Linked DNA regions of Xenopus tropicalis. The protein of the gene in region 7 purifies or fractionates together with the protein of the main gene of each other region. This does not show direct contact. Links are inferred from orthologs where the notes say so. Each region holds a gene or a part of one and is shown on either strand. Other genes may lie near its edges. The genes, in order: rps3, ikbkg, sp1, copb2, spag9, aurka and nfkb1.

Region 1 (4,152 bases), on a different chromosome or scaffold from region 7:
GATTGGGGGCTTGGGGGCAATATGATGGCTGCTGACACAGGTACAGATTGGGGCTTGGGGGCAATATGATGGCTGCTGACACAGGTACAGATTGGGGCTTGGGGGCAATATGATGGCTGCTGGCACAGGTACTGATTGGGGGCTTGGGGCAATATGATGGCTGCTGACACAGGTACAGATTGGGGCTTGGGGGCAATATGATGGCTGCTGCTGGCACAAGTACTGATGGGGGGGGCAATATGGTGGCCACTGGCACAGGCACATGGTGGCAATGGCTGTTGGCACAAATACATGGGGCAATGTAATGGCTGCTGGCACAGGTACATAGTGGCTTTATGATGGCAACTGGAACCAGTACATGGGGGCAATATGATGGGGCAATAAAAAGGCTGCTGGCAGCCTGGCACAGGTACATGGGGGCAATCAGGAAGGGGGGGGCACTCATTGAAGCCCTTGCCTAGGGTGCCAAAATACCTTGGCCCGGCCCTGCCGCATCGGCTCGTTGATGAGGTTCCCGAAACAGCTGCATCTATTGCCGGCATTCTTATTCAATTGTTTGGCCCCAGGGCCAAGTCAGATATTCTTCAGGACTGCTAATCATCTGCCCTGCTGCTACATAGTTTCAGGAGTCAGAACCACCATGGCAGATAATATAAACAGCAACAGCAAGAGGGATACTACTTTCAATAGTAATTACATTCACAAATAACTGAAAAATATCATGAATTTGTAAATATAACATTTTTTTAATCTTCCTGAAGTAAATTTTATTTCTATAAGGACCTTTGGAGAACTGTCAAATGCCAGTGGTGGGGGGCCCTATATGATTGGACAAGGGGGAAGGGCTTCCTCAGAATGGGGCAAGGGGGGTCCCTAGTGGGACCAGATCCGACATTCAGAGGTGACAGGCAGTTTCCATGTATCTACATGAGAGATGGCACACAGTGCTTCCTGCAGACTGAAATGTTACCTGAGCCATCGGCCTTTATTATTTCTGATTATATTAACCCTTTACATGAGTGGTTATTGCACTTTGCTGACAGACGACTAAATGGCAAAGTACAGGAAGTGTTAGGCGTACATTGTTTGGCTGAGAGTTGTAGTACAACAAGAGCTGTTGAGATATATCTATAAAGTACCAACTACTAAGAAAGGCAAATTTAGAAATTTGGGAACACATTTTCAAGAAAATCAATATTTTTTGCAAAATGTTTCCCCTACGGCAAACAATTTCCTACGCAAAAATCACCGGTGAAACTCCTATGCGCTAAAACTACATATCCCGTGGGGCATTGCGCGCTGAACGCACACTTTCCTGTCACACTCTAGGTATATAGCAGCTTCCGCCGGAAGTGGCCTCCCTTTCCTTCCAGCGGCGCTTCGCAAGATGGCGGTGCAGATCTCTAAGAAGAGGAAGGTAGGCTTAAAAAAAGCGCTCTTTTATAGTGTGCGGTGGGACATTGTAGGGCAATACAGTTAGCGCTGGGTCCAGGGGGCTCCGGAGGGTGCAGGGAAGCATAGAGCGGGCAGATGGCTGTGCCTGCGGGGTAGATGGATGGAGATTGAGTCGGGCCTGAGAGTCCGGAGCTGACATGGCTGCGCGCTGTTTGGCCCCAGGCAAGCCGGGTATGTGTGTGGGACTGTGATACTGAGATAGGAACGTCTGTTTCCTATTGGCTACACCTAGTTGGTATAGATAGGGTTAATGAGACTCTCTGTACCAACTATTTGTGTGTAAGTTACCCCTGTATTACTGTCTGTCTGTCTCCTATTCACTATTATTGCCCTGTACCCCAATGTCTCTATCTGTAACCTTGTTATGGGCTAAGGGGGCCCAGCCTGAAGGCCAGTTAGGGGGGGATTTGGGGTGAGTGTTTATTTGTGCCCTGGGTACCCCTGGAACTATAGCGGGGTGACTGTTACCCCAATGTTTCTATATATCTGTAACCTTGTTATGGGCTAAGGGGGCCCAGCCTGAAGGCCAGTTAGGGGGGGATTTGGGGTGAGTGCTTATTTGTGCCCTGGGTACCCCTGGAACTATAGCGGGGTGACTGTTACCCCAATGTTTCTATATATCTGTAACCTTGTTATGGGCTAAGGGGGCCCAGCCTGAAGGCCAGTTAGGGGGGGATTTGGGGTGAGTGCTTATTTGTGCCCTGGGTACCCCTGGAACTATAGCAGGGTGACTGTTACCCCAATGTTTCTATATATCTGTAACCTTGTTATGGGCTAAGGGGGCCCAGCCTGAAGGCCAGTTAGGGGGGGATTTGGGGTGAGTGCTTATTTGTGCCCTGGGTACCCCTGGAACTATAGCAGGGTGACTGTTACCCCAATGTTTCTATATATCTGTAACCTTGTTATGGGCTAAGGGGGCCCAGCCTGAAGGCCAGTTAGGGGGGGATTTGGGGTGAGTGCTTATTTGTGCCCTGGGTACCCCTGGAACTATAGCAGGGTGACTGTTACCCCAATGTTTCTATATATCTGTAACCTTGTTATGGGCTAAGGGGGCCCAGCCTGAAGGCCAGTTAGGGGGGGATTTGGGGTGAGTGCTTATTTGTGCCCTGGGTACCCCTGGAACTATAGCAGGGTGACTGTTACCCCAATGTTTCTATATATCTGTAACCTTGTTATGGGCTAAGGGGGCCCAGCCTGAAGGCCAGTTAGGGGGGGATTTGGGGTGAGTGCTTATTTGTGCCCTGGGTACCCCTGGAACTATAGCGGGGTGACTGTTACCCCAATGTTTCTATATATCTGTAACCTTGTTATGGGCTAAGGGGGCCCAGCCTGAAGGCCAGTTAGGGGGGGATTTGGGGTGAGTGCTTATTTGTGCCCTGGGTACCCCTGGAACTATAGCGGGGTGACTGTTACCCCAATGTTTCTATATATCTGTAACCTTGTTATGGGCTAAGGGGGCCCAGCCTGAAGGCCAGTTAGGGGGGGATTTGGGGTGAGTGCTTATTTGTGCCCTGGGTACCCCTGGAACTATAGCAGGGTGACTGTTACCCCAATGTTTCTATATATCTGTAACCTTGTTATGGGCTAAGGGGGCCCAGCCTGAAGGCCAGTTAGGGGGGGATTTGGGGTGAGTGCTTATTTGTGCCCTGGGTACCCCTGGAACTATAGCGGGGTGACTGTTACCCCAATGTTTCTATATATCTGTAACCTTGTTATGGGCTAAGGGGGCCCAGCCTGAAGGCCAGTTAGGGGGAGACTTGGGGTGAGTGCCACTAATGGAACTGTATATATATATCGGGCAAATGGCAGGTGTTATTGGTAAGGGACATGTGCGAGGAGTTAGTGACATTTGTATATTAATTAATGGCTCTCTTTGCAGTTTGTCGCTGACGGCATCTTCAAGGCTGAACTCAATGAGTTCCTTACTCGGGAGCTGGCTGAAGATGGCTACTCCGGTGTAGAGGTCAGAGTCACCCCAACCCGGACTGAAATCATCATTCTCGCTACCAGGTAACAAGTTGGATCTTTATTTCAATCACTTTTATATTATCTCACATTATCTGTAGTTGCATTCATTTTGGTGATGGTGACGTATAGATATGATATATAGGATACAAAGCCAAGACCTGTTATTATCCTGATTAGAAACTGTGCATTAGAATTTACTGCAGGTAGGATAATGGCTGCGTAGGGTTTATCATCCTTCCAGAAGACTAATACACAGTTCTCCCAGGATTGTGGGTATAAGTAGAATATATGGCGAAGCAAGCTGGCAGTGATATTCACTATGGGGATATCCACAATTTCAAATAGTTCCCTTCCAGAACAGCTTGTGTTTGGTTGTGTGCATTGCTGCTTTTGTAACTCCGTTCCGTTTCCCACATGCAGAACCCAAAATGTTCTGGGTGAGAAGGGCAGGCGCATCCGTGAGCTGACTGCAGTTGTTCAGAAGAGGTTTGGATTCCCTGAAGGGAGTGTTGAGGTAAGTGATCTCTCTGCCCGTATTAACTACAGAGCATTTAAAGGGTAGGAGTGTGCTATTTACATAAGGGCCCCTGTAACAGCCCCCTTTCCCCACCACACCACCCACACTCCTCCAACCCACTACCCCCCATACCTTATAATAAAAGGCAGAGTAGTTGGTGGTGGGCATTGCTTGACAAGTCAGGGCTGGATCAGCTGCAAATGTGCCTGGCC
Region 2 (4,161 bases), on a different chromosome or scaffold from region 7:
TACCCTAGAAACCTGGCAGTGGTTTGAATAAAAGACTGGAATAAGAGGAGTCTGAGTAGAAAGATAAGGAATAAAAAGTAAAAAAATAACAATAAAATTGTAGCCTCACAGAGCAATTGTTTTTGGCTGCCACAGTCAGTGACCCCCATTTAAAAGCTGTAAAGAGGCAGAAGGAGGGCAAATAATTCAAACATTAAGAGAAATAAATAATGGAGACCAACTGCAAAGTTGCTAGGAATGGGACATTCTATAACATACTAAAAATCCACATAAAGGTGAACAACCTCTTTAAAAGTAGCTTTTCATTTATAGCCTACAAAGGCATTTAGGGAACCTGAGTTTCAGAGACTACACTGAATATACAGGGGTGGAAATTCCCCATGACACATGGGAAAATCCATAGGGCCAGTAAAAATGTTTACCCCACCCCAAAGGCTAGTTATTTGGTAAAACCAGACTGTAAACCATAGTTACCTCTACTAATAGAAAAAAAGAACATAAAAACATAAAACATTATAAACAGATATAGACATCCAACCATAAAGCAAAAGTAAATAGGAAACGGTTTAATAGAAACCAATGACCAGTTCTGAATACCAGAGAAAAAGGGAAAGTCCTGATGACATCACATAGTATATTGGCCAATTATATCTCTCCCATGTTATCAGAAGGAATAAGGAAGTAGTTGTGAATGTTATTGGAGAGACAGCGATAAGAAGGAAGCAAAGAGGAATGCAGCCCAGGTGATCAGTGTCTGCTGTTTGGGATCAGAGCAAAATTACATAATTACAATATGGGATTAAAGGACAATTAACACCAACATTTAATTATTACCTTTCTTACTTTTTATAGTGTCTGCATATTCTGGAGCACTTAAAGAGATTATACATCATTTCCATTAGTTCCTGCCCCAGTGGAGTTTACAATCTAAGGTCCATTTCATATTCCAATCAGCCCCTGCCCAGTGAGCTTGCAATCTAAGGTCCCTATCACATTCTCATCAGTCCCTGCACAGTGAGTTTACAATCTAATGTCCCTATCATATTCCCATCAGTCCCTGCCCCAATAAGCTTACAATCTCAAGTTCCCATCAGTCATTGCCCAGTGAGCTTACAATCTCAAGTTCCCATCAGTCATTGCCCAGTGAGCTTGCAATCTAAGGTCCCTATCACATTCCCATCAGTCCCTGCCCCAGTGAGCTTACAATCTAAGGTCCCTATCTTATTCACACACATTAGAGTCAATTCTATCAGAAGCCAATAAACCTGCCTGTATGTTTTTGAATGAGGGAGGAAAGCAGTGCAGAAAACAGAGAAACTCCTTGCCGACAGTGCCACCTGCACCCTAGGGCACAGCACTGCCCATAATTCCCTTGTTGCTGTGTGCATGTATATATGCCCCTTTATATAGTTTACCATAAAATTATTTGGACTGCTTTGTATTGCAATTGCAGTCTGCCAGACTATCCTCTGACCCCAATATAATGCAGCTGGTATCTCCATTGCCAATGTGCAAGTGGGCAAAAGGGGCAGATGTTGCACCCCTGTAAATCCAGCCATTCACAACACTGCCTATGCAAGCCGACTAACATAACCTGACCACCAGTGTCCACATGACAGGCAGGCTTAAGGTGGCCGATTGTAGCTGCCGATATCGGTCCCTTAGACTGATTCGGCAGCTTATCGGCCCAAGTAGGGGCACAAACGACAGGCCTGCCCGACCGACATCTGGCCTGAAATCGGTAGATATCAATCAGGCAGGTTAAAAATTTTAGTCAGATCGGGGACCGCATCGGCTTGTTGATGCGGTCCCCGACTGAATTAGCCTGAATTCACCCGATATTGCCCACCCGTAGGTGGGGGATATCGGGAGAAGATCCGCTCACTTGGCGATCTCGCCAGGCACTTTTAGAAAATATGCACTGCATCTGCGCCACACACACGCAGTTGGGTCTATTTTTGGCAAACCTAACGCAACTGTAGTAGATGAGTTGCAATTGTGTCAAGAGAATCATCAATTTGTGATTGCAATGACCCCGTAATTCTGGAAAAAAACAGTGCACTGTGGGTAAATTCCACTTTATGCCCTGCGTTTAGGTAAGTGAATGTGACCTATGGTGTATACAAATGCTGCTACTGACAGCTTGCTGTCTAAGCTCTCCTCCATTCCAAATCTCCCTGATTCCCCCTACACTTCACATCATCAGGTACAATTGGTTTTTTAGAGGTCTTTTCATTAAAATAGAGCACAATCAGCTGACTGTCCGACATACCCTATTGCTATTCTCTACACTGCTGGTTCTGACAACTGAAACCTGCATGAGCAATGACTATACACAGGAAGGGATACATACAGCTACCGAGTGCATTTACAAATAGCTGTAAAATCAGTGAAAACGTTGAATGCATGTATGGGTTAGCTGCTTGTGATGTTCTGCTATGGGTGCTGGATCCGACACCCATTCTATTAGTATAAAACCACTTTTAATTACCTACTGTGCAGTAACGCTTAGAGTCTCCACTCACTGTCTCAGGGTCGGCTTCCTCCACCCATTCCTTGAACAAAATGAAACTGAAGTCCAGGTTCTGTCAAGACACTTACCAAAGTGTTTTTGTATCGCTTCCGGGTTCGCTTTCCGTAGATGGTCCAACCCCAGGAAATGAGGCTCACGCTGTTTGACAGTATTGTCGGAAGTGGGGCAGGAGTCCTAAACCGGAAATGAAGCATGGCATGACTGCATTGGATTAGAAAAAAATGTAAGCGGTAAAATGTGCCAATACTCTCCTGATGGCGACCTTCGGCAACATCCCCTCCTTTGATTGGCTGTTTGCCGCTTTTCTCTGTTTTCATTGGGGAACCGTGCTCATGCGGCGCACCTCATGGCGGTGAATGACGCAAGCCACGCCCATGTGGTGGCTAAACCATTCTCTGATTGGTGGAGCGGCGCCGGGGCTGGGTGTAACGCTACAGAAGTAGGCAGAGATGGGGAGCAGTCCCAGTGTGGGTGAGTGAGGGGGTGGATCTCTCACCTGGTGTCAGTGTTCCAGCACTAGAAAAATGTGTGGAAACCTGTTCTCTGTGTGTGTGTTAGTTATAGCGTGTGGGGGGTAGCGGCTACACGAGTAGCACACAGCCTGCTTACACGCTCCGCAGCATGCTTCTTTCAATGGAGAAATTACTGCCATAGAACTGCCACACGCGTCTCAATTAGAAAACCAAATCTGTTAGTGTTCTAGAGCGATGAATCCAGCTGCTAAAGCATTAGGTTTCATATACACCTGTATATATGCATGTCAGGAACCCTGAGCTATATTCTACTATAATGGGATTTTACCAGGGGCCACATTATTCTATATAAGTATCAGTGGGTGGTGCTGTGAATGACATCACTAAGTGCTGATTATAAACAATGACATCACTAGGTGCCATATCTGTATATGAATATTTTTACAGGTTAATCATTGCTCTTGTATGTGTTTAATGTGTGCGCACGTAACTCTGAAATTCATATTGGATCTATGTATATTATATGTATGTATAAGTGATCCATAGTTGGGAACTGTTCCTAATGACCAGGCACTGTGCCAGTTGCTGACCAATTGCAGCATTTTGTTATTCCAGTGATAATAAAGCAATTTTTATGGTTTTCTCTTTCATTTCCCTGCAGAGTCCTCCCTCCTGACCCAAAAACACCTATGTACCCCAATAGGCAGAGGAAGTCATATATATGGCAGCTGCCAACCCTGCTGCTCTACTCTGCCTTAAATCCTGATGTACGAGGAAGCATAAGGCTGGAACTAGGGCTAGGCAGCAGGGGCATGTGACTCAATCACAGTTGGGGGGCACAGGCTGGACTGGCATTCAGGGCCAGAACTAGGGGTAGGCAGAAGAGGCAGCTGCCTAGGGGGCAACGATTGAAGGGCGCCAGGCAGGAGCCTCTCTTGCCTACCCCTAGTTAGTGCTCCATTTTCATTACCCCTGCCGCGGTGGGGGCAATGAACTTTCACATCGCACCCCCCCGCCAAAACACACGGGGGGTGCAATGCAATAGTGCAGGGACTAGGTGGCCACCCGGGTTGCCTTGGGTGGCCGGTTGGCTCAGTCCACCCCTGCTGGCATTCCAAGTACACAGAGGCCCAAACAGCCCCCACCAGCCCAATA
Region 3 (3,991 bases), on a different chromosome or scaffold from region 7:
CACACAGAAAGATGGTAGAAAGAGTGACCACCTTACAGGAGAAGGCAGGCCAATGCACCATATGCTACGTGTGGCATTAGCCTTAGCTTACCCCAATGTTAGTGAGAGAGGTAATGGTGCAGGTGGGTCATTGCCCAGGCATGTTAGTGTGCATTCCCAGGAAAAACACACAGTATTACTTATTTTACATTAAAATAATAAATATAATGGAAAGTCAATAATGGAAGAAAATTTGTTGTCAAAAAAAAAAAAAACAAACAGCTTTGAATGGGACCTATTACCCTGAATGCATGGACCTAGGTTTAAGGGATTTGAGTAATTTGCATCACTATACAAAACACAAAAGAATTGTTTTGCCCCAGATTTATGCAGCTAAGATACTATCGATTACAAGCTACTGTTTTATTACAGAGAAAAGGGAAATCATTTTTATAAATTAGTATTATTAGCATAATATCACATCGAATTGCTTTCCCCACATCCTGGTGCAGGCTAATAGAGCCCGCACTCTGGTTGGGGGAAACACACACACATATAATATATATATATATGTGTGTGTGTGTGTGCTGCTCCTACGTCACACATTTGCGCACAATGAGTGAGGAGTCTTGCTCATTATGCACATGCACGCTAAATAACATGGCCGCCCGTGGGGGCTGTTTAAAAAAAAAAACCTATTGTTTTCCAGAATGCGGGCTCTAAAGCCTACACCTCTGGTGGCGGGAAGAAACTAAATGGTGATAGGTGCCCTTTAAACTTAGTTCTATGATGGTCTGCAAGCAATTTAGAGCTTTCTGGATAAGGGATTCTATAGCTGTAGCACTCTATTACATATACATGGTTCAGCGTTGGGAAGATATCCAACATCATCAGTTGGGGGCGCCACCTCCTGCGATGGCCTAAGACAGCACAAGCTGCAGAGATAACCATGCCTAGGTGGGTGTTGGTACAAAGACAGTACTACCCACAATGGAATAAACTGGGTGTGTGCTGTAAGTGATATTTTATTGTTGCACAATAGCAAAAATAACACTCAGTGAAATTTAGTGGAGCATTGCCTTTCCAGCCTTTGCTACAAATCTGAGCAGATTTAACCCTAACTGCCATTTACACTCGGCCCCCACCAGCCGAAGCAGCAGATGCAGTTGCTGAATTTAATTAAAAATGTAGCTGCCAATAAGATGCAAGACTGAACGTGAATGTCAATTTAACCCTTCTACGGCTATGTCCTAGGTGCCATTTGCAGTATTAGCAACAGCACAAAGAGTGCCAGCATGTAAACAAACCAGCATGTCAAGGAGACAGCCAGAGAGAGAACAGGAGGGACAGGGCTGGGGGGAAGGGTTTCTGGGGCCTGCCCCAAGTGGGCAGTCAGGAACAGGGGGTGGGAGGTTTGCCAGCCAAAGGGTGGGAGGACAGCAGCCATTCTCAAAGAGAAAGGAGGAAAAAAAAAAAGGCCTCAGCCCCCCTCCCCCATGCTCATCCAGTGTACAGGCAGCCAAGGCGAGAGGGCTGGATAGTTCCCAGGCATGGTCCCTGCCTATCTGTGTATAATGCAATATGGGTGGGTTCCGCTTACCTGCCCCTTCTGGATGTATCCACCTCCTGTCCGGTTTTCGGACTTTATCGTAGGCATGTCATCGGACGTGTGCTCCTGATCTGCTGTCAGCGAAGGGCACAAGCACAGAGAGAGAGTGTGTGAGTGAGGGCAGTGAGTAAACATGCACACACAGGCTTACAACATGGCCGGCCCTACTTCCCTGAGAAACACAAACCCCTCAGCTTAGAAACAGACTGCTGAACTACAACTCTCACAAACCTCTCAATACTGGAAGTGAAGAGACTCACAAACATGTTTCCCATCTATCAGCCTAGATAGCCTTAGCAGCACTGTTGTGGAACTACAACTCCCACAACCCTCTGTAGAGGAGTACGTTCTAGAAGTAAAATGATTTACAAATAAATATAAATGGTCTACATAGGCTTCACCTGCGAGTAATGGCAACTCCAGAGGCAAACTACAACTCCCAGCGGCCCCGTTCAGCAGGTTAATGAAGGGATCTACCGGATGAAGGTCCCTCCCATCCATACGATGTCAGTGAAACTGCCCGAGCTGAGGGCGGATAATGGTTTCAGGGGAACTACAGATACCCCACAGCTACGGATACTGGGAGTGTTTGGGCGCCAGAGGGGCAGATATCCCCAGTGTGAGGCAAGGATTGCTCTGGGCAGGGGGGGCTACAGAAGGAGGGCCGCAGGCTTCACATTATAGGCGAAGGCAACGGGTTCCGGGGAACATTTTAGGGTCACGTATTGCCCTTTCCCTGTGTCACGAAAAGTACCGGCTACCATGCTAGGAGGGGCGGGGGGCAATTTTACAATTCTACCCCACCCACCGAAGGGGGCAGAAAAACAGGGCGGGAGAGGAGGACAGCAGGGAGGGGTTCTACCGCCACAACCACCTCTCCAGTTATAGGGAAAAGTAAAAAGGGGGCGAGGAAGGAGAACGAACGAAGTAGTGAGGGCGGATATGACTTTATTTCTACACCCCCGCCTCCTCCTCCGGTGGTACCGGCCGCTCTCAGCATTCCGCCAGCGAGTCATGGCGCGCAGCAAAAAGCCCACAAAGTGGCCAGGGGGAGCGATCCCTCACACAAGCTGCGTGCGAGCAAGCCAGGAGGGGCTCTGGGATAAGCTTGCGAACCCGCGTTACCTCCCGCCCTTATGCCCACTCTCCTGCTTACCGCTCATGTTGTTTCTGGGGCCGTAGGTACTTCACACAAACCTCGGCTGACGATGGCAACCTAACCTGGCTGCCGCGCGGCGGAGACGGTGAGTAGGCGGGGCTACGGGCGGAGATCGACAGACCGCCTAACCACTCCCGCCGAGGGGCGGCTCCACCCGCCCAATGGGGTGGCGCGGTGGGTGCAGTTAGCTGGAGACTGACAGAGAAGGCTGACCAATTAGAGGTGGAGTGACCCCGCCCAGCCACGGAGGCGGTGTGTGATGGGGGAGGGAGATGAAAGAATGTGGCGGGGGTGGTGGCTCTCTAGTCTGAACCCTTCCCAAGGTTAGAGTGACACTGAAAAGGGCCAATCATAATCGAACGAAGTCCAAGGCGTTTCATTAAGTGACGAATCATACGAGAAAAGCAAGCAATTGAAGAGCTGTGTGAGGAGGGGAAGGGAAATTAAAGTTTGACTGGTCGTTGTAGGGTTTGGGCGCCATTTGCTGGAATTGCAGAATGTCGCTCTTTAATTATTTAGAATAACTGGCCACAGCTATTAAAGTATTCGTTTTTATTCGGCATCAGCCTACGTGCAAATAGGAAGCAAGATGGCAGCAGTCGGAGTTGCGACTGAGTGGCTACGTGACTAAAGGGGCCGCATTATCTGTAATACAGAGAGGGAATGATGGACGGGTCGTGCATAGAAAATAGCAGGTTTAGAATAAATATCAGAGTTACAACAATAAAAAAAAGTGACATAGGTTACATAAAGCCGAGCACAATATATAAGGCTTATTTTCTTTATTGGGCCACTTCTTCCAAATTGATATCAATAATTATTAAGCAGCCAGTCCAGTAAAGCATTGTCAGTCCTATCATTAATAGAAATATATTGCTCAATAAAAAATGAATGCCTTTTCTTGAGAAAACAGTCCTGGCTGTATTTATTAGATTGTAAGGGCTCTGGCACACGGGGAGATTAGTCGCCCGCGACAAAACTCCCTGTTCGCGGGCGACTAATCTCCCCGAGTTGCCTTCCCCTGCAAATCGGCGAAAAAGCCTCGCGAGGCAACTTCGGCGATTTGTGCTAAATCGCGCCGCCGCGTGTGCCATCCCACCGGCGACTTACATTTTCGCCGGTGGGATGGCAGGGGAAGGCAGCTCGGGGAAATTAGTCGCCCGCGAACAGGAAGTTTTGTCGTGGGCGACTAATCTCCCCATGTGCCAGAGCCCTAAAGGTGTAACTGAGTCCATCACCATTAA
Region 4 (3,500 bases), on a different chromosome or scaffold from region 7:
AGACTCAACTACTATGTGGGAGGAGAGATTGTTACTATTGCACACTTAGATAGGTGAGTAACTTTGCTGCATAGGAGATCTGGTGAGAAGGTTAAGAACATCATTATTTGGATCTTCTGATTACAATAGAAATACATTAGTAAATACAGTATGTATATCATTTTCAAAAAAATTAAGCTATTTTTTTCATTCCTCAGAACCATGTACCTGCTTGGTTACATTCCCAAAGATAACCGCCTCTACCTTGGGGACAAGGAGCTCAATATCGTCAGTTACTCACTGCTTGTATCAGTCTTGGAATATCAGACAGCTGTCATGAGAAGAGACTTCAGCATGGCTGACAAAGTAATCCCAACTATCCCCAAAGAGCAGAGGACCCGGGTTGCTCACTTCCTGGAAAAACAGGTAAAGACTGGGCAAATGGTGACTGGAGTTCTGTTAGTATTTGGGAGGTGATGCTCTACAGTGTCAGGGGCCCTCTGCTTGACTTTTTATCTTTTTCTTTGTGAACAGGGTTTCAAACAACAGGCTTTGGCTGTGTCCACAGATCCTGAACATCGGTTTGAGCTAGCACTTCAGCTGGGAGAGCTTAAGATTGCCTATCAGCTAGCTGTGGAAGCAGAGGTAAAGTAACCACACTTTGCTGACTGGGTGGCTTTAGTTGTACTGGTCACTATCACAGCATTTTTTAAATCCATAATTACATTATTCCAAGGTGGGTTTTTAAAAATCCCAGATCCTATTTTGATCTTAAATACTTGGGGTATTGCTTTGCCCACCTGCATCGGCTGCCTTTACCTACATTAAAGAGAGTTAATTGTAAGGTAAGACATAAATGGCAGTGATTATTGTAGGAAGCTTTATATAGAGTTTCTTTGGTTCTTACTGGACAGATTACAATTCTCTGCCTTTTTCCTTAACAGTCAGAGCAGAAGTGGAAGCAGCTGGCAGAGTTGGCCATCAGCAAATGTCAGTTTGGATTGGCTCAGGAGTGCCTACACAGTGCCCAGGACTATGGTGGGCTCTTACTCCTCGCCACCTCTTCAGGGAATGCCACCATGGTGAACAAGCTGGCTGAAGGTGCAGAGAAAGATGGAAAAAACAATGTAGCTTTCCTAAGCTATTTCTTACTGGGGAAGTAAGTGGTGTCCGGTGTCATGACAACATTAAAATCTGGTAACTTTGTCCCTGACAGTGTCAGAGAAATCACTTGAGGCTCTGAATTACTTGTCCTACAGAGTTCATTATTTTGTATGCAACAATGTTTGCCTTCATTTATACCTTTTCCCTAAAGTATATCCTTCACTATTTCCCAGTTCTGCTAATTGCATTGCCTTATTTTTCTCAGGGGCCTACAGTCCCAATCCCTGGGTAGCTCAATATTTGTATTTATTTTTTTACAGTGCCTAATAGCCGCCATGGTATGGTGGTCTGGGTTGTTTTGCTGCAGTCTTTACCACTTTGTGTTGGTACCTGACCCAGTAAAGGGTACTTGTACAAACAGCACTGAACAGTAAAACAATACATTAATAGGTGATACAAATTACAATTTCATTAAGGTTAAGTGATAGGTCTTAGAGACGAGGAAGAATGTCCCTGTCCCGTAGCGCTTACAATCGCATTCATGAACCAAATATTCGTAATACCAATAATATCTGCTTGTATTTGTATTACAAAATATTTTCAATTTATATCCTAATTTACTGAGCATTTCATTTCTAGATTGGACTCCTGCTTGGAGCTGCTCATTTCTACAGGCCGCTTGCCCGAGGCAGCATTTCTGGCAAGAACCTACCTGCCAAGTCAGGTGTCCAGGTAATAATGTATAAGATGTTATATTTGTTATAGTTATACCAGTGAGTTATGACCTAGGCAGTTCAGGTATTCTGTGAGTTGAAGGGCAGAAATCTTTGCTTCTCTATGGATATTTAGACAGCAAAATGTAGGGTTGGGTTGCAAACAACATACCCTTACATTTTTTCAGTAATTTAAGGGGGAGCATGATGTCAAGAATCAGGGAGTGTATATTTCAGATATGTTTTTCTTGTGCACTCTTCAGGGTGGTAAAATTATGGAAAGAGAGCCTAGGCAAGGTCAATCAGAAGGCAGCAGACTCTTTGGCAGACCCCACTGCATACGAAAATCTCTTTCCTGGTCTAAGGGAAGCCTATGCGGCAGAACCATTTTTGAAGCAGAACTCGGGCATTCTGCTTCCAGCTAAGGAATATCGTCATGTGACTGTAAGTAACTGGGATATACCTGAATGCAGTTATTTGTACAGTGTTAATATTGGTGGTACATGTATAAGGCAGATCTCAAGCTCTGCACAGCCCAGTCCTTTTTTTGTATTGGGCCTGTCATCACTGACAAAAATAGTTGTTTGTATTACTATAATGTCTTTGTTAAATGTATAATGAAGCAGTAGAATTCTTAATGAATCAGATGAAAGTGAGTGTAGGACTGGCCAGACCAGGGATGACTTTGACGTAATTGGCCAGCTCAGATATATTGCAATATATGGACAAACAATCCCTGTTTTACTTGGTAGCTTAATGCACTGAATGTCTTAATGTACTATATATATTGATAAAGGGTGAGTAAAGAGGACCTCTTGTTGCTGTCTGTGTGAATACTGAGCACCATTTGTTATTTAGAGAGTTAAAGGTTGTGCAGACTATTAATAAACAATGCAAACAAAATAGGGAGGACTGTAAACAGAATATTCATACCATTTAGTTTAATATTCAAATTGAATAACAATTTACTCAAATTAAACTAACTCTTGAGATCTAAGAAGGGCCAGACAGGCTATCTGCAAGTTTGGATATATGGGTCTGAACTATTAGACTGTATCCATGCTATTAAACCAGTTCTGGGTGCATAGTTGGCCACAGGGACATTAAGGAATCCTTTGCATGTCTCTGCCTATAATGCCATAAGTGATGGTCAAAGCCTTTCAGTTTTGGATTTAAGGTAGTGCTATGTGTGTAGCATTAGGCATGCAAATATTATTATTAACATTTATTTATAAAGCGCCAACATATTCCACAGCGCTGTAAATACCTTCTGTTTTAAGAAAGCTGTCAGTGCTTGTCTTGGGCTTGGTTTGTTCCCTCTCTCCCTAACCAATATGGTTATTTTGCTTTGCATCAAAAATATAATTCAACTTCTAGAAAGCATCCCTAAATTTGTCACCAGTTTTCTATAAATATGTAAATCTTAGATAGCAGACAACCAGAGGCTGAGTGATGCATTGTACATACATGTATAGTAATAATACATCCTTAATTTTTGCTCTTTTAGCCAAACGAAGAGAGAAATATCTTGTCTGAAGCAAAGGGATTTGATCCATCAGAATCCGCCTTCACTGTAAGTTGTGGTTCAAACAGTACCAAGGAAAGCAGGAAACCACTATTTCCATCCAATAGCATTTCCTAATATTGGTGAACTAACACACACCTATATCTATATTGGAGGGGTGGATCTATAGAATTAGCAAT
Region 5 (3,500 bases), on a different chromosome or scaffold from region 7:
GGCAGTTGTAAGTGTAAAATTCTATCCCTTGCTCTTGCTATAGACACTTCATCAAATCCTGTATCTTTTTTTAGTAGATCAGTAAAGAGTTGCCTTAGCTGTATCAGTGATGTAAGCACTATCTACCAAGCTGGGCAGACTCACTTTGACTTGATTCAAATGATCATTGTTTGGTAATGCATTTACTGATAGTATATATAGCCACCCACTGGACGGTGCCTGAGGGGGGCAGTAGAGTAGAATAGAGGGAAGGCGGCAGTTTGGACACCTCCCTGAATTACATGCTACTTTCATCCTGTATCAGTTTCAGCCGACTGTTCAGCTCTTCGGCCACCGCCTCGAAAAAGCCAGACACTCCGGTGAACCTCAAGTACAATGCGCCGACCTCACATATCACACCATCCGTCAAGAAGAAGAGCAGCGCTCTCGCTAAGCTTCCCTCCGACAAGTCCAAAGCCTTTGACTTCCTCAGTGATGAGTATGTGCCTCTGAAATACTCCTTTGTTTCATTTGTCCGAATCCCCACAGCTTCTGACCCTCAGACTACCCCCTGACATTAGCAGTGATAACTTACTTGCTCAAAGTTCCTTTAAACGTATTTCAATACGGATCATTCCATTCATTTGCAGCCACTCTAGTGGGAGTGAAGTGGCTCTGGCATCGCGGCGAGAACAGAAGCGTGAGCAGTACAGGCAAGTGAAGGCACACGTACAGAAGGAAGATGGGCGGGTGCAGGCGTTCGGCTGGAGTCTTCCACAAAAATATAAGCCGGTAATGTATTACCCTGTACCGCGTGTGAGACTGGCCCACATAGGGGGGCACAAAGCCTATTAGTGCCTAATAATGCACTTCATTGTGTAAATGTGCGTGCCTCAGTACTAAATTTGAGCCCACAAGCAGAGAGGGCTGAGCTAGATATAGTTTGTTCAACTTTTAGTGTTTTCTTACCTTGCTAGCATTAAACAGCAAGTGGCTTCAGCAGCTTTCATATGGAGTCATTGGAATTGTGTGCTATTCTGATACACTAGGTGGCAAGTGAAGGACAGAACGAGAGCAAAATGAGGAATCTTCCCGTCCCTGTTTACCTGAGGCCTTTGGACGAGAAAGATACTTCCATGAAGGTAAGTGCTTGCTAGAAGGCTTTGTGTATGAATAACGTTTGACAGTCTGTATGTAGCACAAGCAGGACGACTTCTCCCATGTAGGTCTATTCTGTGTCCTCAGTATTCATTTTATCTTTATTTCATATACAGCTGTGGTGTGCAGTGGGAGTCAACCTGTCTGGCGGAAAGACAAGAGATGGAGGCTCAATTATTGGTGCCAGCGTTTTCTATAGCGACGCCCCCGGAGCGGAACTAGACAACCAAAAACCCCGCAGTGACTCTCAGAGCAGCTTGGATAAACTTGAGCAGGAGCTTAAGGTACAATGTTAAGTGCTTCCTAAATCTAACTTCTTTCCTCAGTGCAAACAAAAGTGCTGTCTGTCCCTGACAGTTATTTTTGCCCTGAAAGCTGACAATCAGGCCTCATTCCACCCCCTCTATAACTCCTAGGTGCAACAGAAGGAACTACGGCACCAGGACGAGTTATCGAGCCTTGTATGGATTTGCACCAGCACTCATTCCTCCACTAAGGTCATCATTGTGGATGCCAATGACCCAGGGAACATGCTGGACAGTTTCATTGTCTGTAACTCTCACGTCCTCTGTATTGCAAGCATTCCAGGTGTGATAAGTAGAAAATTATTTTAGAATCGCAACACCATTAAAAACCTTTTATATGAAAGGCACTGTTTAATTTGCAGCCCTGCTTTCTGGTGATGCCTATGACTGATTTAGGCAGGATGGGAGATAAACCCTAATAATATAATATATATAATATATATACGGGAGGTAATTATGGTTACAGACCCTGTAGTCGGGGGCAGGGTGACCCGGTCTGCTTTCTCTATAGTTACCAATAAATCCCACCTCTCCAACTGCTCTCCAGGGAAAGGGAATGCGAGGGACTTGGGTGGGAACTTGGTTGTTGGTAAAGGCCGGGTAGGAGTCTCTGTTCACCATTCCCCCACCAATTTACTATGGGGGGGGGGGTGCAGACTAGTTACTCCACTGGAAATTGAACTATATTTGCATGTTTAAATAATTTTATTACAGGTTTGTAATTCATTATTCACTGATTTCAGGGGCTATGGAAACCGATTACCCCACAGGAGAATCATCAAAGCCGGAATCGGAAACAGGCCAAACTGATAAAACGTCGCTGTCTGAAAGTCTTTTGAGCAGCGGGTCCTCGGGGGCGGAGAACGTTGCAGTAGGAGTCAAAGTGGGAGGGGCATCTTTGGAGGACATAGAACCCTGTGCTGTACAAACGCCAAGCGTCCTGCCAGCTGAGGAGGAAGTCAGTCAAGGTGTGGATATACACTTTTTTAAAGGACAAGTTCTCCATTCCTTTTGGTTTGCTATTGCATTGAATTCTAGAACATTATTCCCTGCCACTGCAGTCTGGTTGCTATGGTCTCTTGCCTCTGGGGGCAACTTAAATGATAGTGCTTGCCAGCTTAGTTATGTTTAAATATTTTAGGTGGCACTGTGACTCCCTTTATCGGGTTATCAATTTGAGTCACTGCTTCAGGATTTGCAAGGTTCTTTGATCCTAAACCCAGGAACACATTGCTATTCTTGTGTTTCCAGATCCCGATTCCACAGACCGGGAACTGGATGACAACGTGGCCACGGCAGAAGAAGCCACAGAGGACACGGAAGTGGGAACTGGCTCCAACGATGATCTGGCTGACATTTCCCAGACAGGGGTTTATACGGAGCATGTATTCACCGATCCCCTGGGGGCACAGACCACAACAGAGGACACAGGCTACCAGCCTAGGTAAGGACTGAATATGGCCAGCACTGATCTAAGTATGGCTATCATCCATTGCTAAGTAAAGTGCAACAGGTTGAACTTGATAGACATTAGGGATGCCCCGAATTCAGGGTGTGTGTGTGTTTTTTTAATCTCATCTACTACGTCATTAGGAAGTGGCATTGGAATTAGAATGCAGATCTTTGTATTTTCCTTTTAACCTCTCTCTTCCACCCCCAGCAATGACTCTGACCTGTATAAAGATGGCATTGCCACATTACCAACTGAACAAGACCTGATGAGAGAGGAAGCCCAAAAAATGAACAGCTTGCTGCCTACAATGTGGCTCGGAGCCCAAAATGGATAGTAAGTAAAATGATGCTTATGCTCTCTAAAGCCCCCACAGATCAATAGGTGGCTCCTTATAAACTTGTATACGCTTCACAAAGTCTTCCTGGGTTGGGGAATATGCAGAAGATGTAGGTGTAATAGTGGCTGACAGTATGGGCACGGCTGTAGCCACTGTAGGTGTTTACTTGGGATTCAGAGCACTTTTGCAGCCCTGGCAAGTCTGACTACTTGAATGTAGACAGTGTTTTGAAAGATACAGTAGAGTCATCCACCTGATTTTGTAGACA
Region 6 (2,504 bases), on a different chromosome or scaffold from region 7:
GGTACCCAGGGCACAAATAAGCACTCACCCCAAATCCCCCCCTAACTGGCCTTCAGGCTGGGCCCCCTTAGCCCATAACAAGGTTATAGATATATAGAAACATTGGGGTAACAGTCACCCCGCTATAGTTCCAGGGGTACCTAGGGCACAAATAAGCACTCACCCCAAATCCCCCCCTAACTGGCCTTCAGGCTGGGCCCCCTTAGCCCATAACAAGGTTATAGATATATAGAAACATTGGGGTAACAGTCATGTTGCAGGCTTCCAACTCACAATAAAGTGCCAGTAGCCCTGTAGGCAGCCTATTCTATAATAACCTTCATGGCTCTATGCTTACTGACCCATCTGGGCTAGTGTCAGACTAGTAATGTACCATCTTCCTGCTTAGGGGAGCCCCATGTCTTTGCCCTTCTTTCTTCCCCCCATTGGAATCTATGGATTTCGGGGTACCAGCCCATTTTGCCACCCATTCCCTAACTGAGAAAGGCACCGTTTGGCAGTAACTTTTTCAATCAGCTTTATTTTAAAACACAGAAAGAAAAGGGAGCATCTTAGAACAGATTTTTATGCTTTTCTAAAAAGTGTTGTTAACACATAAAAGGACAGACGAGATATAAGTTGATACAGAATAGGTATTTACACTGAATTCATTCTCTCAGTATTCAGAGCAGCTGTGTAATGGGACAGCCATATTAGCAGCCTAATAAATATACCCAAGGCATTCACATCACTATTGCACCGGCCAAGGAAACCTTACAATCTCTGTATAATCAATCAGTGGTGTCGGAACCGGCAGATTTTAGTTGTCAGTGCGTATACAGTTTTATAACTGCCGCATCTGGGGTTAAACATCCATAGTAAAGGGAACCTGTGCCAGTAGCAGAGCAGTGGTTTGTGACGATAGAAGTTATAAAGCACCGGGCCTCGTGGCCCCTTTAAAGAACCCGTCGTTCCAGATCAGGCAGTCTAGTCCCATTCACAAAAGGCACGCAAGGCGGTGAGTGTTCCATGGTACATTGCCTTGTGTTGGAGTCAATAAGCAAATACTGAGCTGTGAGTTGCCAGATTGTGACCCCCCCCCCCCCCCATTAAACAGGGCAGGGGGGTATCCAGCAGGTGCAAATTGCTGTGCCTTCTCACATTTGGGAAAGTAAAGATCCACAGGGGATTTCCTATTGAGCCCCTGTAACCGGCCCCTCTTTCCTCTTGGGCTTTTGAGCAGAATTATCTATGATCCACGGATGTTCGAGAACCCCCTTCAGGGACAGCCTGTGGTTTGGGTTGTGCTTTAACAGCTTCGATACGAGATCTCTGGCTCCTTCCGATACATACGAAGGATACTGAAATTCAACCTGCAGAAAATAAAGCAGTTGGGAGGGGGGGTTATACTGGGAAGGGGTATGAAGCGCAGCACTAAATATGTCATGTTTGTATTTAGACCCCCCCATCAGATTTAGTGGTAACAAGACCAGTTTGACCATAGCCAGTCTAGTTGGAATCAGTACTGATATTTATAATAGTGAAGCACCTCACCCCAGTGATGGGAGCACCCTGCCTGTCCGTATGTTGGGCACGGAGGTGGGAGTACTAAGGGGGATATAGAAAGATACCTTTGAAATACGTCTGTAGGTTTCCTGGTGGGTGTCAGTCTCAAATGGAGGTTTCCCTACAAGGAACTCATAACAGAGGACTCCCAGGCTCCACAAGTCCACCTTCTCGTCGTGCATTCGGCCCTCAATCATCTCAGGAGGGAGATAGTCCAGGGTTCCGCACAGAGTGGTCCTCCTGAAGAGAAGCAAAATGGAAAGATCCAGATCTCAGAAATGCCAGGATATTGCACTAACTGGCCTTCAGGCTGGGCCCCCTTAGCCCATAACAAGGTTACAGATATATAGAAACATTGGGGTAACAGTCACCCCGCTATAGTTCCAGGGGTACCCAGGGCACAAATAAGCACTCACCCCAAATCCCCCCTAACTGGCCTTCAGGCTGGGCCCCCTTAGCCCATAACAAGGTTACAGATATATAGAAACATTGGGGGTAACAATCACCCCGCTATAGTTCCAGGGGTACCCAGGGCACAAATAAACACTCACCCCAAATCCCCCCCCTAACTGGCCTTCAGGCTGGGCCCCCTTAGCCCATAACAAGGTTACAGATATATAGAAACATTGGGGTAACAATCACCCCGCTATAGTTCCAGGGGTACCCAGGGCACAAATAAGCACTCACCCCAAATCCCCCCCCTAACTGGCCTTCAGGCTGGGCCCCCTTAGCCCATAACAAGGTTACAGATATATAGAAACATTGGGGTAACAGTCACCCCGCTATAGTTCCAGGGGTACCCAGGGCACAAATAAGCACTCACCCCAAATCCCCCCTAACTGGCCTTCAGGCTGGGCCCCCTTAGCCCATAACAAGGTTACAGATATATAGAAACATTGGGGTAACAGTCACCCCGCTATAGTTCCAGGGGTACCCAGGGCACAAATAAGCACTCACCC
Region 7 (4,048 bases):
ATAGGTGATGATGAGTAAGCACATAACAAAACAGCATTCAGTCAGTTGATGTTTACTCATCGTGCCTACTCTTTAATTTGAAAGTGTTTTCAACAACACAATAGAAAAGAAAATACCATTCTATGCAACTTTAAATATACATGAACTAATAATTTTTTGTGGTTTTTAAGTTTTCCTGCATTTTACACCATTGTTTTGTGGTCCAACTAATATTTAACACATAATAAACTTCCCTGATTTTCCATTTTTCCAGATTTTGCACCATTTTTTTCTGGTCCCCTGAAAAACGTAAAATGGGGGTACTACTGTATTCTATGCACTATTGGTTCTGACTCTTGAAACCCAGAGCCAGAGAGAAAAGAATAAAGAAATACTGCTTTAATAGCAATTAACAGCATTGATTTTTAATCAGCGTATATTGGAAGTTTGCTTAGAATTAAGTTTTCTATCATTTTACAAAAAGGTTTTTTAGGCAGAGATCCCCTTTACAGCAACCATTCATCATCATATTTGATCTTAATACAATATTTGCAATAAATTGATATTTAGCAAGTTGTGTGTCTAAACATAAAGACTGGCCAGGTAAGACACAATACTGGTATGCTAATAGAAATACAGTATATAAGTGTAATAGATATTTGGTAGATTTTTTAATACGTCTCCCAGTTCATATAGCTGACAGAAGAGTTTTTTTTATTTCACTGATATATAAACTAGATCCTGTGCTACTTGAACTTTTTGTCTGAAATCCCAAATGACATGGCTGAATCAGCTTTGTTACTGAAAAAATTGCCTTGTTTTCATTGCAATTTTCTATTTTCTATACAGGTATAGGACCCGTTATCCAGAATGCTCGGGACCAAGGGTATTCCGGATAAGGGGTCTTTCCGTAATTTGGATCTCCATACCTTAAGTCTACCAAACAATCAATAAAACTGCAATTAAATCCAATAAGATTGTTTTGCATCCAATAAGGATTATTTGTATCTTAGTTGGGATCAATTACAAGGTACTATTTTATTACTACAGAGAAAAGGGAAATCAGTTTTAAAATTCTGAATTATTTGATTAAATTGGAGTCTATGGGAGACGGGCATTCCGTAATTCGGAGCTTTCTGGATAATGGGTTTCCGGATAAGGGATCCCATACCTGTATCTGAAAATTCTTCATAATGTAAAAAGAATTATGGAGGCCCACCCAAAACAGCATGGGAACCTTATTCTGGGTCCTGATCCATAGGTTAAGAATCCTCATAATACTCAAAAGCCTTGAATAACCTAAATAATACAGGTATGGGACCTGTTATCCAGAATGCTCAGGACCTGTGGTTTTCCAGAAAAGGGGTCTTTCTGTAATTGGGATCTCTTAAGTCTGCTAGAAAATAATTTAAATATTATTTAAACCCAACAGGATTGTTTTGCCTCCAAAAAGGATTCAATATTTCTTAGTTGGTATCAAGTACACGGTACTGTTTTATAATTAAAGAGAAAAATTAAATGGGTAAGGTCCTTAGGGGGGCCAAAACGTCACATTGGCTGCTCATGCTATGATAAATACAATATTATTTTCATCACATTAAGCTCAGTGTTGCCAGTCCTCTCTACTTGCAGAATATTTCTATTGTGACACATAACTTGTGAATATAAACTGTTATTCCTTAATATCTATGCTATTACTCTTTTTATACAGTATAGCTGAGATTGTTTATTTTAGAGAAAGCCTAATGGATAGAAGTTAGTAGATGCTAATCTGAGGAGCCTGGACCAAAACAGATGCAAGCAAACGTTCAAAAGTCAAAGAAAGGCCTCATATTACACTACACCAGTCTATTCTGTCTATCTTGCATTACCTTATTAAAAAGAGAGTAATGCTTTACAAATCACTCTCACTTAAATGTAACACAAAGATGCAGCAAATGTTATAGGTAAAAAGAAAGCTGCAGACAGAAAAGATTTGTAATTTATCAAGATTCAGTGAAGATGTTTTTGTTGATACAAATTCAGCAGTTGTTTGTTCATACAAAGTAGCATCTATGGTACAAAAGCCAGGCTCCCAATGAGCAGTTTGTGTGTTAACCCCAAGCATCACGCTTCTTCCATCACTGACAGTTTTTCTAGAGCACATATGGACACTGCTCACACCCACTGAGTGATTACTCTTGTCCCTATCACCGTTGGGGAAACAGAATCACAAGGAAGTAGAAGTGTAAGAGGCTTGGGAAGAGAGGTGTTCTGAGCTGTATCAATGATTTCCCCCTGTATTAAGCACAACCTTTGCCTTTAAAGCAGTGTAACATTAGAGCAGGGCTGCCCAGTTGGTAGGCTCCAACACAGGGGGCAGGAATCCCGGGGGGCACAATATTGCGCACATGTGCGCCGGCATACAAGGAAGTGCCTCAGGGTAAGCTCAGCTCCGATGAATGCACTTTGGCACTCAGTGACTGGAACCCATCATCAGGCAAGCAAAGGTTTTCTATATCAGCTTCCTTCTTACCTTGCACTGGTTATAGTTACTGGCCGTCTTTCCCGATTGAGTAAATGAGTGACAGCCGCAGTAATGCAAAGAATTGCGTGTTGGTGATGGACAGGACGCGCTGCCGTGCGAGCCAGATAATGAATGACACCTCCTCAGCAGGCTCCTGTCTAGCTGTCCATTGCAGCGAAGGGCAGAAAAGTGAGAGCCCGGGCGCACAGCCGCACTCCTGCCTCTTTCAGTTTCCTTGTTTTCTCTTTGCTCGGGGCGGGCTCAGCCTCTCGCCTCCTCCCCGCTGGAGGGGTTTGTGCGGCTTCTTCTGCCCATCATAGAGAAGAAGTAGCTGTTGTTCTCACTTCCTGCCTGGAATTTCCCACTTGCTGTCACTTCGACCGGTGGGAGGCCAGAGAGTAACACGATGCAACTTTATTCTATGCGTATTTTTCTCTTTCTCTGTCGCCGATTGTCAGCTTTCCCTTTTTGCACACGTGTCCTGACTGTACAATAAACATTTAGTACCTTGGGCAGCACAGAGACCATGCTACTTTATTCCATAGGAATGGCATTGCAGGTGTGTGGAGTAAGCAGCACAATGCTGGCCTACCCGCCTGGCTTCTTTGCCTTCCTTTTACAGTAAACCTAAGGCCCAAGGCAATGAATGGGAGTAACTGAACATAAAGATGCAATGTGTGCTGCCTGTGTGTGCAATACTCTGCCTGCGCTATGCTGCCTGTGTGTGCCATACTCTGCCTGCCCTATGCTGCCTGTTTGTGCAGCATAGGGCAGCATATATGTATGGCAAAGATGGCACCCTAAATGAAAATCCCACTGCTTTGAACACATGGCCTGTCTGGATTAAAGTTGTTTGTATATGTATAGATATTTTCCTATACCAGATGAACGTTGTAAGACTGATTGTTCGGTTTATAGAATTATGAATCATTAACACAGAAGGGGTCATTTACAAACTGAAAGGCAGGGTGCAATTCACCATCTTTTTGCACTTTGCACCCTACCTTTGAGTTTATAAATGACCCCTTTTGTGTTAATGATTCATTGTTCTATATACAGTACACCAAATAATCAGTCTTATGCCTTATATCTGGTATAGGACAATAGCTATACATTTACAGACAACTCTCTTTATCTGTATTTATTAATTACTTTGCAAAATGTATTGCAAAATTCACATATTATTTAAAAATAATGTTTCAGTGTTGCAGATATATGAAAATCATAGTTTTATCTTAATGGTCAACTTTAGAGTAACTAATAAACTTTAGAATTCATGGGAAATGTTCCAACAACCAAGGACAATTTAAAAGGGCTGAATACTGAGACTGAGTTGTGTATTACATAATGGTAGTACAGGTATGGGATCCCTTATCCGGAAACCCATTATCCAGAAAGCTCTGAATTACAAGAAGGTCATCTACCATGGACTTCATTATAAGCAAATAATTTACATTTTGAAAAATTATTCCTTTTTTTCTGTAGTAATAAAACAGTACCTTTTACTTGATCCCAACTAAGATATAATGAATCCTTATTGGAGGCAAAAGAGTCCTATTGGGT

Evidence for each region.
Region 1: the proteins of nfkb1 (region 7) and rps3 purify together in Homo sapiens (affinity purification with western blotting; 3 studies listed by BioGRID and IntAct, with this or other methods). This does not show direct contact. The link is inferred for Xenopus tropicalis from reciprocal best matches to the Homo sapiens genes NFKB1 and RPS3.
Region 2: the proteins of nfkb1 (region 7) and ikbkg purify together in Homo sapiens (affinity purification with mass spectrometry; 4 studies listed by BioGRID and IntAct, with this or other methods). This does not show direct contact. The link is inferred for Xenopus tropicalis from reciprocal best matches to the Homo sapiens genes NFKB1 and IKBKG.
Region 3: the proteins of nfkb1 (region 7) and sp1 purify together in Homo sapiens (affinity purification with western blotting, with the first as the bait; 3 studies listed by BioGRID). This does not show direct contact. The link is inferred for Xenopus tropicalis from reciprocal best matches to the Homo sapiens genes NFKB1 and SP1.
Region 4: the proteins of nfkb1 (region 7) and copb2 purify together in Homo sapiens (affinity purification with mass spectrometry; 5 studies listed by BioGRID and IntAct, with this or other methods). This does not show direct contact. The link is inferred for Xenopus tropicalis from reciprocal best matches to the Homo sapiens genes NFKB1 and COPB2.
Region 5: the proteins of nfkb1 (region 7) and spag9 purify together in Homo sapiens (affinity purification with mass spectrometry; 5 studies listed by BioGRID and IntAct, with this or other methods). This does not show direct contact. The link is inferred for Xenopus tropicalis from reciprocal best matches to the Homo sapiens genes NFKB1 and SPAG9.
Region 6: the proteins of nfkb1 (region 7) and aurka purify together in Homo sapiens (affinity purification with mass spectrometry; 4 studies listed by BioGRID and IntAct, counting the BioPlex papers as one, with this or other methods). This does not show direct contact. The link is inferred for Xenopus tropicalis from reciprocal best matches to the Homo sapiens genes NFKB1 and AURKA.

Annotation. Positions count from the first base shown.
Region 1 is NC_030678.2:172,182,969-172,187,120, reverse strand, and holds the start of rps3 (40S ribosomal protein S3), read left to right. Parts: upstream 1-1,352; 5' UTR 1,353-1,387; coding exon 1,388-1,417; intron 1,418-3,334; coding exon 3,335-3,465; intron 3,466-3,843; coding exon 3,844-3,937; intron 3,938-4,152. UniProt on the Homo sapiens protein: Component of the small ribosomal subunit. The ribosome is a large ribonucleoprotein complex responsible for the synthesis of proteins in the cell. Has endonuclease activity and plays a role in repair of damaged DNA.
Region 2 is NC_030684.2:25,684,779-25,688,939, reverse strand, and holds the start of ikbkg (NF-kappa-B essential modulator), read right to left. Parts: upstream 2,801-4,161; 5' UTR 2,602-2,800; exon of another isoform or gene 2,492-2,601; intron 1-2,491. Other genes in the region: g6pd (glucose-6-phosphate 1-dehydrogenase), read left to right, coding at 2,983-3,004. UniProt on the Homo sapiens protein: Regulatory subunit of the IKK core complex which phosphorylates inhibitors of NF-kappa-B thus leading to the dissociation of the inhibitor/NF-kappa-B complex and ultimately the degradation of the inhibitor.
Region 3 is NC_030678.2:146,984,287-146,988,277, forward strand, and holds the start of sp1 (transcription factor Sp1), read right to left. Parts: upstream 2,801-3,991; 5' UTR 2,752-2,800; coding exon 2,745-2,751; intron 2,438-2,744; exon of another isoform or gene 2,090-2,437; coding exon of another isoform or gene 1,990-2,089; intron 1,663-1,989; coding exon of another isoform or gene 1,660-1,662; coding exon 1,580-1,659; intron 1-1,579. UniProt on the Homo sapiens protein: Transcription factor that can activate or repress transcription in response to physiological and pathological stimuli.
Region 4 is NC_030681.2:128,419,605-128,423,104, reverse strand, and holds part of copb2 (coatomer subunit beta'), read left to right. Parts: coding exon 1-53; intron 54-197; coding exon 198-405; intron 406-513; coding exon 514-624; intron 625-923; coding exon 924-1,138; intron 1,139-1,722; coding exon 1,723-1,815; intron 1,816-2,059; coding exon 2,060-2,240; intron 2,241-3,303; coding exon 3,304-3,369; intron 3,370-3,500. UniProt on the Homo sapiens protein: The coatomer is a cytosolic protein complex that binds to dilysine motifs and reversibly associates with Golgi non-clathrin-coated vesicles, which further mediate biosynthetic protein transport from the ER, via the Golgi up to the trans Golgi network.
Region 5 is NC_030686.2:46,700,446-46,703,945, forward strand, and holds part of spag9 (C-Jun-amino-terminal kinase-interacting protein 4), read left to right. Parts: coding exon 1-7; intron 8-304; coding exon 305-478; intron 479-629; coding exon 630-771; intron 772-1,028; coding exon 1,029-1,121; intron 1,122-1,253; coding exon 1,254-1,421; intron 1,422-1,553; coding exon 1,554-1,725; intron 1,726-2,185; coding exon 2,186-2,410; intron 2,411-2,693; coding exon 2,694-2,886; intron 2,887-3,102; coding exon 3,103-3,228; intron 3,229-3,500. UniProt on the Homo sapiens protein: The JNK-interacting protein (JIP) group of scaffold proteins selectively mediates JNK signaling by aggregating specific components of the MAPK cascade to form a functional JNK signaling module.
Region 6 is NC_030686.2:6,094,793-6,097,296, reverse strand, and holds the end of aurka (aurora kinase A), read right to left. Parts: intron 1,786-2,504; coding exon 1,611-1,785; intron 1,353-1,610; coding exon 1,173-1,352; 3' UTR 501-1,172; downstream 1-500. UniProt on the Homo sapiens protein: Mitotic serine/threonine kinase that contributes to the regulation of cell cycle progression.
Region 7 is NC_030677.2:73,654,988-73,659,035, forward strand, and holds the start of nfkb1 (nuclear factor NF-kappa-B p105 subunit), read right to left. Parts: upstream 2,801-4,048; 5' UTR 2,495-2,800; intron 1-2,494.